Tribolium castaneum: one gene and its partners. The protein of the gene in region 2 interacts with the protein of the main gene of each other region in a pairwise test. Links are inferred from orthologs where the notes say so. Each region holds a gene or a part of one and is shown on either strand. Other genes may lie near its edges. The genes, in order: Ras85D, Raf and Rap1.

Evidence for each region.
Region 1: the proteins of Raf (region 2) and Ras85D interact in a two-hybrid assay, tested with the Drosophila melanogaster proteins (2 studies listed by BioGRID). The link is inferred for Tribolium castaneum from reciprocal best matches to the Drosophila melanogaster genes Raf and Ras85D.
Region 3: the proteins of Raf (region 2) and Rap1 interact in a two-hybrid assay, tested with the Drosophila melanogaster proteins (2 studies listed by BioGRID). The link is inferred for Tribolium castaneum from reciprocal best matches to the Drosophila melanogaster genes Raf and Rap1.

The regions. Positions count from the first base shown.
Region 1 is NC_087397.1:5,188,451-5,192,430, forward strand, and holds Ras85D (ras-like protein 1), read right to left. Parts: upstream 2,814-3,980; 5' UTR 2,576-2,813; coding exon 2,180-2,575; intron 1,687-2,179; coding exon 1,501-1,686; 3' UTR 457-1,500; downstream 1-456. Other genes in the region: DENN domain-containing protein Crag, read left to right, coding at 26-341; uncharacterized protein LOC663430, read left to right, coding at 3,361-3,980. UniProt on the Drosophila melanogaster protein: Ras proteins bind GDP/GTP and possess intrinsic GTPase activity. Plays a role in eye development by regulating cell growth, survival of postmitotic ommatidial cells and differentiation of photoreceptor cells.
Region 2 is NC_087400.1:7,671,117-7,675,445, reverse strand, and holds the end of Raf (raf homolog serine/threonine-protein kinase Raf), read right to left. Parts: intron 1,800-4,329; coding exon 474-1,799; 3' UTR 334-473; downstream 1-333.
Region 3 is NC_087403.1:4,584,600-4,588,775, reverse strand, and holds the start of Rap1 (ras-related protein Rap1), read right to left. Parts: upstream 2,805-4,176; 5' UTR 2,612-2,804; intron 2,498-2,611; exon of another isoform or gene 2,352-2,497; intron 2,127-2,351; exon of another isoform or gene 2,123-2,126; 5' UTR 2,097-2,122; coding exon 1,914-2,096; intron 1,860-1,913; coding exon 1,731-1,859; intron 712-1,730; coding exon 559-711; intron 501-558; coding exon 411-500; 3' UTR 1-410. UniProt on the Drosophila melanogaster protein: Ras proteins bind GDP/GTP and possess intrinsic GTPase activity. Plays a role in photoreceptor cell determination.

The DNA of each region.
Region 1 (3,980 bases), on a different chromosome or scaffold from region 2:
TGGTTTAGTGGCTGGGTTGTTGCAGGTTTATGCAGAAAGTGATCGTCAGTATTCGGCTCAACGACCTGGCGGAGCCTTTGAAGAACTTGGCGTCGGAGCGTGAGTCACACGGTCCGCATCAGGGGAAAAACCGGATTTCGATTTATCGCGACATCTTGTTTCTGGCGTGTAAAGCGCTGGGGAGGAGTCATATCGACTTGAATGCGTTTGATAAACAATACAGTGCGGCTTATTATCGTGCGACTGAAAGGAATAATAGACAGTTTGAGCCCCAAGATAAACCTCTGAGTACGATCGCGTTGTATTGCCGTCAATACTTCCGCCCACTATCTTTGCCTTGATCAGTTTGTTTGTGTTCTTTTTGTTTAATTAATAAGGTGCACTGCTATATTTTAACTGTAGGTTTTTTCTTGGGTCTATAGTTTTCAATAAAGTTGTTGAATAAAACGAGGTGTGTAAATATTTAACATTTTATTAATAAGAGAATTTTAGTAGACATATCTATAAACTAAATTGCTACATATATTTTTATTTTGTTTTTTCTTCTTTTTGTATAATATATGAAGGCAAAATTAAAACTAGATTAGTAGAACATTAAGAAAAATCTCATATGAAAAAACGGGGAATAACATGTCAAGACCAAGATTAAGCTTAAACTTGGTTATATTTCTTTAACGATTGATCATTGCTTGAAGTTAACTATACTTTATGCCAGAATACGAGGAATAAAACGAAAACAAAACGAACTGGTTCAATTGGGAGGCAGATGAGCGATTAGTTTATTCATCGTATCCAGAAACATGACAAAAAATTCTCATTAAAGAGGATAACTACATTAATATCAACAAAAAACGAAGAGAACGAGTTCTCTTTGAGGCACATACAAATTTGTGCGCAAACTATACATGATATGCTATTCCTGAGATATTACATAATTAAAAGGAAATCCGTTAGAAACAATAATCTTAATATCAACTTTTCTCGCCAAAAATGTTGCGCAACTGTACAAATTTCTCGTCAGAACTAAATAAAACTATCAATAAAATATACATCACATTCAGAATATACATATAAAATTTTAATATCTGACATATATAAAACCGTGTATTTATCCTCTTTAAAACAAAAATTTGTGCAAAGAGACGAAAAATGTTTCCGAAGCTTTTTCAATATAATATCTAAAAAGTATTTACAGCAAATTTAAGAATCGACAAGTAAGAATATACTGAGCAGAAAAGACACACTTGAACTAAAAGCAAAACGTGGTACATAAAAAAACTTCTTTCATAAGCTTCCTCTTACACATTTTCGCACACTGGAATTATGGAAACACGCACACGAATTGTCAAATGATATAACAATCGGGGGAGAAGAGTGAAGCGTCGCTCCCCCCTATTACTTTTTACACTATCACACTTTCACAGAGGAGAAAAATGCGAAGCAAAACACGATCCCATTTTTTTAAATTTTTTTGCTGGTCATCGAAACGATGAGTCTGTCTTAAAGGATGGTGCATCGCAACTTAAAAGGAACACGACCGTGGCCGCCGATGTACCTGTGCTGGCGTTTACCGCTTCTCGTTTTGTCCTTACGTATTTCTCTAACTAACGTGTAAAATGCCTCGTCCACACCCATCCTGGTCTTCGCCGACGTCTCCACGAACGGGATCCCGTACTGCCGCGCCACCTAAACAAAATTCGCATTTTTATAATGAAGAAATATCGAGAAAAAAGCTATTTTATGTGATATTTTGAGTAGATCGAAGATTACTTTAACTCCTGCTAGAAAGAAAAAATCAAGATACACTCGCCCAACCATGAGTCACCCTGTATCAGTTGCTAAGCAACAGCGAGAGTCAAATTACAGGAACCTACTATCCAGGAAGGTGGATAAATGGGAAAAACAAGTGGAATGTTCTTAAATAAACCACTCGGCTCAGATAATAATAAGATTTGGTAGAAATATTTACTTAATTTCTTTCCTGTGATATAAACATATTAGTGAGTCATCAGCATCAATCATTTGTTTTTGCATTCCTCTTTCACCAACACCTATTGACGTATTTTGAATGAGGAAACCTACTCAATTGCTATAAATGTGTGATTTTTGTTGTCTTAAAAACACGTTAGAACAATTGGTTTGTTTAGGCGCCAGGTGTCTGGTTTAGTGAGAATTTTACCTCTCTGGCTTGGTTCATGTCTACAGCCCACGAAGTGAGGTCGCATTTGTTTCCTACGAGTACCATTGGTACGACTTCGGCATCTTTAACCCTTTTAATTTGTTCCCTGTATGTTCCAATGTCTTCGAAACTTTTAGCTGAATTAACGGCGAAAACCAAAAGGAAACCTTCCCCTGTCCTCATGTACTGGTCTCGCATGGCACTGTATTCTTCCTGTCCTGCCGTATCCAAAATATCCAGTAAACACGTTTCCCCATCGATGACTACTTGTTTTCGATAGGAGTCTTCAATGGTAGGGTCGTATTCGTCGACGAAGTGATTTTGGATTAATTGTATGGTCAAAGCTGATTTGCCGACACCACCTGCTCCAACTACTACTAGTTTGTATTCAGTCATTTTATGTAGAAAATACCAAAACGGCTAAGCAAACGAAAATACCAAGAAGCACACGGTTTTTAATTTTTTTTATTAATTTTTGCAGGCTATGCAGGTCTTCTTATTCGTTATCCCAGCATAATAAAATCAACACAGCACACATTTAAACTGAAGCAATTAAGAACACTCGTATGCCCAGTAAATTACTCTAATTAATTGTAATCAAGAACGAAAGAGTAACAAAAGTTATCAAGACCGTCAAATGCACTACTAAACAATGCTGCCAACACACCTTCAGCTTCACAACCCACCCATCATAGCATCACCACAGACGTAAACAACGTCAACCACTCTTTTGTACCCCAAACGCCTAGAAACGACGCACCATAACATGGTCTAAACCCCTCACGAACAAATTTTATTGCATAGAATCCACAAAAACGTGAGTTATACGATAGGTTCGAATTTTTATTCGTTGTCAAAGTCGAGAAGGGTCTCTCTATTTTGCCCACCTCTGTGAGCATTGTGTAGTGTGGCCAACGGCCCAAATCCCCTAAAGCCAATATGTCATCAGATGACAAAGATAAAAAATATTCGTAAAGAATTAATTTTAATGTTATTAATTACTCGAAGTTGATTTTCTGCAAGCAGGACGAATCAAAACCGCGCCTTTCCTTTACTTAACGATGTAACTTCTGTGTTGTTAGCTCCTGAAATTCGGAAAAGTGTCCCAGTTGTGTAAGGTTAAGGTGAGTAATCTCCTTGAAAAAATTGTCATGTAAGGCGATCCCCCGACAGTTGTGACAATGTCGAACAAACAGCAAGAAACCCCCGGCGGTTCCATGGACAACGTCCGAGTGAAGATATCCGAAAAGTACAAGCCCCCTCCACGGATAGGCCTGGCAATGTCCTACGCACAAAGACTCACTTTAAACAAGCAAATCCAAGATACGATCCCGCATTACGAGTTTGTTTTAGAAAAGACTGTAATAGAGAAAATGAAGGAGTGGAGGACCGCGCGATCTGTGATGTTCCAGCAGTTAAACGAGAGACTAGAGAAAGCGAGAGAGGAGAAAAAGCGGCAAGACGAGCAGACCGATTATCAGCTAGAAGAAGAGATCGAAGTTTCAAGCCCTAGTCAATGTTACCAACAAAACCAATCAATGTTAATGCCTGTCAAAACCTACTCCACTGTCCTGACCCCCGTCTCGTCCGGGAGCCAGACGGACAAAAGTCCGTTCAATATCTCCGACTTCGAGGCGGACACTTCGAGCCCCTTCGACAACATGGAGCTAAAGTCAATCAATGATTTGGAAGAGCTAGCGCAAGTTTTAAAAGGAGAAGAATCTAAACCCAACTACTCAACGCCCGCTTATCCCATGGTGGGCCCCAGCAACTACACCTACAACATTCCCAGCTCCACCAG
Region 2 (4,329 bases):
TCAGAAAATCGTATTTACTGTTGCGACAAACATTATTCAACATGTTTTTAATGGGGAGACAGGAAATAATCCAAATAAGAAAAAACAATCACTACAGTTTTATGAACTTATTTAATTTGAAACTTAAATTCTGTACCCTGGTCCAAAACCAGGAATACGAAATAAAATTGAATCGAAAATTTTATCAGTTTTTTTTCGGATTTCAACAAAAAGTTTCCAAAGTCTTGACTTTTCAGTCCAGTCAAAGGTTGGAACACTGAATTTGGAAAGCAAAGATAGATTTTCAGAATCTTCGAATTTCGTAGGATGGGATGGAAATAAGTAAACGCAGTATATTTTTTTAAGAATTTATTTAATACGAAAACAAAACAATATTTAAATTTAAATACTTGACAATAACTTAATGATAACCTCTACTCAAGCCGTATCACGCACTCTCACTCGTCCTAAACGTCCCTCTTGGCGCCCTCCCCTCAGATATTACCCGTTCCTCCCGAATAAAAAAAACTCGACGGTCCGAACGCCACCGGTGTTTTCGGACTAGCACACGGATAAATAAAATCATCAGACTGGATCTGCGTCCGATTCATGTTCGGTTCGGACGCCGATCTGTTAATTTTCGGATGACTCCTCAAAAGTCCCTCCAACGAGGCATGAATCTGCCTGAAAAGCGGTCTCTCGTCCCGATTGAACTTGATACAGTCTTCAGTGAGTCGTCTTAAAGCTTTGGGTGTGTCGGAGCGTAGTTTACTCATGTCTGGTTTGAGGTACCCCCTCCCCACCATGAACAGGATTTGGTCCTTGTTGTTGATGTGGGAGTAGGGCAATTGCATTGCCAACATCTCGAACATAACGATCCCGAACGCGTAAACGTCCGACTGGAAGCTGTACGGGTTGTCCTCCTGCATCCGGATCACTTCTGGCGCCATCCAGAGGATGCTCCCCGTCGGCTGGTGGAACTGCTTGGAGCCCGACCAACGGATCTTGGCCGTGGCTAAGCCGAAATCGCCGATTTTGACGGTTAGGTCATCGTGTAGGAAAATATTATTCGATTTGAGATCTCGATGGATGATATTTTTCGCATGGAGGTAGTCCATTCCTTGTGCCGTTTGTCTCCCGATTTCGATCAAAGTAAAAAGCGCGAATTTCGTCTCGTGCACGTGGAGATGCTTGTACAAGCTCGAACTCTCGCACCATTGCGTCACGATCGCCAACTGCGGCTTACTAACACACCCCATGAACAATAAAATGTTCACGTGTCGCGTTTTGCGCAGTACTGCCACCTCGTTCTTGAAGGCTTGCAGTTGTGCCAACGTTGGTATTTTAACGTTGAGCGTCTTGACAGCGACCGGGCCGTGCCAATGGGCCTTGTAGACCGTGCCGAAGGAGCCCGAGCCGACCCGATGGCCGACGAGGATCTCGTCGGCGGGGATCTCCCAATCCTCGATGCTCTCGCGAGGGGCGAGGAGGGGCTTGCTCTCGTCGGCGGAGCGAGCACGGGGTCGGCGCGGCTGGAGGGAGCCGGTGGGCGAGGCCTGGGTGCTGTGGTAGTGGGGGAGGCCGTCGTCGATGCCGCCCCGGGTCAGACTGAGGGACTTGGGGCAGTCGTCGCCGGGGCCCTTCACGTTGTTGAGGCAGACGTTGGGGGCGGAGCTGGAGCGGTCGTGGTGGCCGAGGGTGCCAGGGTGGCGCGGCTGGCGGGAGAGCCCCAGGCCGGCCTGACCTGGGTGCAGGATGCCCGCGCTGAAGTCCGGAGAGCGGGCGAGGAGCGCCCGGTAGTAGGCGTCCGTCATACGAACCTGGGGAAGCGAGATATTTTTGGTTCGACGTCAAAACGCAAGGGATGGGAGAAAATGCAGCAAATCATTCCGAAAAGCAAAATTTTGCATTCCATTTCTTTATTTTACTTTGGATAATGCCACAGACTAGTCCACGTTTATTTAGTAAATTCGGCAATCATCCAACTTCCGATAAATATTTCCAAAACAAAAAAAGTCCAGGGAGAATCAGGAATTTTGCGAGATTCAAATAGTGAATGTTACGACACTTTCAAAAATAACTCCACATTGTTTAATTGCGTAGGAAAAAACTTCTAAATTAAGCCAAATTCAAAAAAATTACAAAAACCTAGTCAGGGATTTTGTAAAGGACGAATTCCGAAAAAGCGAACAATTTTTCAAAAAAATTAAAGAGAAATTCAAACTTCCAAAGACGTAAAGTAAAAAGAAAACACTAGAAGTTAAAACAAACAAAAATTGTATTGAGAAGAATCTCCAAAAAATGCGAATATTCTCGTCATACAAATCCAAATGTAACATTTGGAACATTTTGGAAAACAATAAAACACAATGCATTTTCTTATCTAAAGTTTATTGCATGATTTTCATGTATTTGAAACATTCCATGGCTTTATCACCACCGATTGATATCTAAATTGATGCCGATATTAACTTTGAATTTATTTTATAAAAAATAAAGAAAATGCGTAATTTATTATTGTTTAACTTAGATTTATTAATACAGGGTGCTCAAAAACTGGCGCACCAACTCAGTGGTACGTTATTGAGAAGCAAGTGCAGATTACGGGAAAAATGTTGAAAAAATTGCTAAAGTTATATTTTAAAAAATCTGGAGCTACAAACTTATTGTGTTAACTTCTTTAGTTTTCATTATTTTTTTATGTTTTTATGTTTCACACCAGGTAATCGTTCCGTAACAAAACGATGAATAATTATTTTAAAATTTACTATAAGATTTTAGCAGTTTTTTTAATTTAAAAAAATTAAATTTCATCCAAAAAATCACAATCTGTAGATGTGCCAACACTGGGAATTATTTCCTAGGAAACCGTTTCAAAAATAATTTATTTTTATTGCGATCATGACTGTTAGACAACGTTGCCACATATCATTTACCTAAAATTAGTTATTTATCAATAACTTTAATACAAAGAATTTTTTTACTACTTTTACCTTTATATGTAACCACTTATCTACCACACACCATTGAGTTGGTGCGCCAGTTTTTGAGCACGCTGTATATTTTCAAATATGCCTGACTGAAGAGAGAGAGAGAAAAAACAAGGATGAATTACAAGAAAATACAAAGAAAAGTCCAGTAGGAAGAATAGAAATAACCAATGAAATTTCCCAAAGAATTTCATGTCACGAAAGTGTTTTATTTTGTTTCAACTTTTCCAATTTTTTTTACCGTGTTTTCTTTTTTTTTCTGTCACATTAAAATGAAGTAAACACACTTTTTTATTTTCATATTGCATAGCTACATACCAATCTAGAGTAAATTTAACTCGGATTTATAATCTCGTGCTGCCAATTAGGAAAATTTTAATGAATCAAATTAATACAGCTTTCAGTTTTTTGAATTTTTGCACATTAAAATGCAGAAATGAAATAAAGACACTTTTTATGTCAATACTGCATAGCTACATAACAATCTAGAGTAAATTTAACTCAGATTTATAAACTCGTGCTGCTAATTAGGAACATTTTAATGAATCAAATTAATACAGCTTTCAGTTTGATATTTTTTCCATCAACATGTGCAACTAGAACATTCAACTAAGTATGTTACGTATTTTTGAAAATGTCATACAAATTACTAAAACAACAGTAGATTTGCGATTATTATTTGTCGTCGTTACCTTTTGCAATACGAGAAGTATTTTCTCGCGACGTTATTTTAATCATTTTGCGAATGTTCGTAAACAAACTGGATCGTTGAATTCACAGCAATTTGCAGTAATTAGTCAACCGACACCTATGCGCTCTGGCTTTATTCATGCTCAAATAAACACGGCTACGATGAATCTTATGCCTTTTCAATCCAGCTGTTTACCGTTTTTAATAAAACAAACTAATTTCTTGATTCGCCAGATTTATGCGCTTCACTTATAGTGCGTTAATAATAACAACTTTTAAAAGTTAATAAGGATATTTAAGCTAGTGTTGAAAAACTTCCATTGCAATCTTGTAAAAGACGATTACTTAAAGCAAAATATACAGCTGGAATATAAATCATAACTTTGATTTAAGGCGATTTTGGTAAAAATTCCCGAAGCAGGTCAATTTTTATGTTTCCTTGCCTACTATTTGATGCATATGGTTTTTGTTTATCTGCTGTCAGAAATGCACAGCCACCTCTAACTTCTTGTTCAAATGTTAATGGTATGCCAAGTGACACCTCGTATGAAAGCCTTTTTCGCAAGCAATACAACGCACTATTTCTTTTTTAAATTTTTTCAAAGCATACGTGATAAAAAATAAAAACCAATTTTATAAGTTGAACATTATTTAATGCAACAATTGTTCA
Region 3 (4,176 bases), on a different chromosome or scaffold from region 2:
CCCAACCTGTTAACTAGGCTTATTCTATGTAGGAATATAAAACACCCTAAAACGCTGTGGTCAGAGAAGTATTGTCCCGTCACTAGTCTTGGCTCACTGATTCACACATCGCTATCCCTATTTGACACCACAAAATTGGCAGTAGATTTCAAAATACTCTATCACTAAATAGAATTGCATCTAGAGTCAATAACAACCTTGATTTTGGAGAAATTTAACTGACATATATTTTATAATTAATTACAAATACAAATACTTAAATATTTAATAAAAAGAATATACAGGACTTTAACTACCCTTCACTGGAAGAAGCTCTCCACGTCCGCACTTGCCTTCACGCTTACACACTTTGTCTTACAATTGTCTTTGAAATCATTAAATGTACTTTTTGGTTCCAAATCATTACATTTTTATAGAAGCACACAAATCGGTTTCTTTTTCTGCTTTTGTTTTTTCTCAGGTGATTTTTTGTTGATTTGTCGAACTAGATCATAAAATATCTAAAACAATACACAGCGTTAAAACACTGCACAATCCGACACGCAGCACAATACTCACATCAACAACATTTATTTTAGCTTTGGCAGAGGTTTCCATGAAGGCACAGTTGAACTGGCGCGATAGGTTGTTTCCTTGTTCTTTGCCTACCACTCTTTCCTCTTCCAGATCACACTTATTTCCCACTAACACCATCGGAACATCATCGGTGTCCTGACAAACAAAAACAAAACTCTACAACTGACCCTAACTAGCTCATTCACATAACACTTTTTGTATTTTGCACCGCAATTCAAACTAATTTTGGTGATGCACGATTGCACAACTTTATTAAAAATTTCTTGTTCAAAAAACTAAGTTATTAAAAAAACAAACAAGATATTTTTATAGAATTGTATGCTGGCCAAAAATACCAAACTATGCACTCTTTCTTTTAATGAAGAGAAGAAAAATGTAAACTTGTTGAACAGTGTAATAAATAAGTAAAAAATAATCAAATAAAAACAGAAAAATAGATGTAACAATCAATTTAGCGATAACAACTCCCACTGTTACGAAGAAAAAGTGGCCCATGGTAATAATCGAGAATTAATAATTTTCATTGTATGAAAACAACTAAATACTAAATAAAATGCCAGTTAGTTACGCAGTTTACGAAAAAAATTAGATAATTACTGACGCGAAAAAGTGGTACACAAAATATGGAAGCATTAGCCGGAAGTTGCCTGTATATTTGCATTATCAGTAGATTATATTCTGTTTATCATTAAACGAAGCTTTTATGTAAATTTTGTCATGTAAAATAAAATAGGTGCTGATCAATGACCTCTACACATGTGCAGATGTAAAAAACGTAATAATAAGAGTTATGAGTGGTAAAAGTATTGCTTACATGTGTGAAGTGAACCTGAAGGAGTTAAAAATATAAAACAACGACGTGTTAATAGGTGGAAGGGTGGAAATGAGTAATAAAGCAGGTCAACTTTTCCAATATGTAGATTAGAAACGTAACATAAATAGTGATCAATCTCATGTTGACCTTGGGTTTTATTTTGATAATGAATGTAACATTGATATGGATTGATACATATGCAATAAATTCGGTTTTTGTCGCAAATTTTAGCATCTAAAAGAGCGTGTTTACGTGTGACGTGAACTAAATAGTGACCTTAGAGGCAATTAGTCATCGGTTTTAAAGTGTGTGTAATTAATTGCAATTAAATTGAATGTACCTTGACTCTGAGAATTTGTTCCCGGAGGTCTTGTAGATCATTAAATGTTGATTGTGCTGTAATTGAATAAACCAAAACAAAACCTTGCCCGTTTTTCATATATAAATCCCTCATCGCCGTGAATTGCTCCTAAAACAATTTTTCGAAATGCAGTGTTTATGAGAGGCGGAATGTGGGACATACTGTGCCTGCTGTGTCTAAAATTTCAAGCATGCACTGTTGCCCATCGACTTCGACTTGTTTCCTATAGCTATCTTCAATAGTAGGGTCGTATTTCTCGACGAAGATTCCTTGTACAAATTGCACGGTGAGTGCCGATTTCCCTACACCCCCGGACCCCAAAACGACGATCTTGTATTCACGCATTTTCCCAGTTGCACAAAAACTTCAGTCTATCTGTAACGAAAATCGAGTGAAGATAAATCGCCGAATTCCGGGCGGTTGTGAGTAAGCGAAACTACGAAAGCGGCCTAATCTCGGTGGTTAACCACAACCCAACAGGATGCTAGCGCACATGGAGCAGACACCTAGTGATCAATCCATGCAGATTTGCAAACAATTCTACGAATCGGGGCTAATTAGGCGGGATTTGCGCCCCCTGTCACAACTCACGATACATACATTGGGTGTCCAGCTCCTGGGGCCACCGCGGTGCCGCTTCCGGTCACAGGTTCGTCCACTGCACTCCGTTTTCGGTTTTAACGTCAGAACGGCCCGAAACCACTTCAATTTACACTGTCATGGCTCAACGCTTCAACAAATACTCACTAGGTGAAACTATTTCAGTTTTTTACGGCATTGCCTTTTCAAGGATATGCTCATACTCTCAAGGGTGCTCTGGGAGGAGTTGGGCGTGATTTACATGAAAATGGGAAACTTACCGTGGGCTAAACACCGTTATTTCAGGATCGGGCGATGCCGTTGGTAGTTGATGGTAGGTGTATTAGCTTTAGCTATAGATATAGCGTATAGCTGGAGCTGCTGGCAATGGCAATTACTCTGCTCCCTGCTCCCCCTTCACCCCTTCGTTTCACCAAGCGCATGCCACCATGCCGCACCCGAGACAAGAACGGTCGATAAGACAGGAAAACGCAACGAGAGTTCCACACTCGCAACAGAGAGGCCACCACCAACACCAAAGCCACAGACCAGCACTTCCCAAAAGTTTTGTTACATAATTCCAGAATTCATATCTTTTTTATTATATAATAAATAAACTCAAAAATCGAAAACTTGTTATTATTTTTGAACAAACCCTTTATAAATCAAAATCCTTTGAAGGATGTATCCACCATTACAACAGAAACACCAATTCCCAAAAAAGTTTGGTTACGTAATTAAAAAAAATAATATATCTTTTTAATTATACAATAACTCTGAGATATATTTCCACCATCACAAGAAAAACAGCAATTCCCAAAATACTAATTACATAAATTATCTTATTAAATGAATCTCAAATCAATGAATATTAATAAATATTAATCTACCAGTCGTATTATTAAAAAAAAAAACAAGTTAACCTTGTACCTCCAAAACCAATTGAAGAAAAAATTTAGAGTTTTGAAATTTCGCAAAAAAAAATCTTCATAAATGATCGTATTTTTAAAATATTTACTAATGTACTAATTAGTTTTTTCGTAAAATGCATAGCTTAGGCACAAAACGTGTTCAATTAAAAATTAAAGACGTAACACCTCGAAAAACCGGCTTCTCATAAATTATATTTAGGGTATAAATTCGAGATGTATAGAATAAATGATTAATACCATGCGATCATTTAAATTTATAGAGGAGGAAGTAGGCAGTTTTTTTCTTTGTATTTGATAAACTGGTGCAAATTAAGAGAAAAATATGTATCCTAACTGAATATTACTATTCGAAATTTTATTATTTGTCCCTTCAGCTCGATCAGTATGTTAAAAATCTATTACAGCATACTCTAATGATAAATTCAAATGATTACGTGGTATTTAATAACAATCAGACGTTTACTTACCTTTTTTGTAAAGACAGTCTTTTTTAAATCCCTCAGTTTTATAGACAAAATTTTTAGACTAGTCTGATTTTAAATAAAAAACAAATTATGTAAAAACCTATTTGACAATAATGTCAGTGCCCAAACAAGCTTTACGGTAAAAAATATTGCAAACCTGCTTGGATGTGAGCTCCCGCAAACAGATCACTCGTTCACAAATTTTTTGTGAAAGGAAATGTCAAGAAACAACCCTTATTTATGTGTTTTTAAACGCCAAGCGAAACGACTTTAATAAAGTAATTCTTTGTATAAAATAAATAACTCATTTCTGCTTTAATTAATTTCGTAGTATCGCTTAATATTTCTGGCTTAATCAAGGTAAGAATGAATACAGTTATGTTTAATAAAAATTGCAAGAAGGAAATTCCTCGTATCGTAAAATATGTGTTCATTAAAAGGATTGGAATC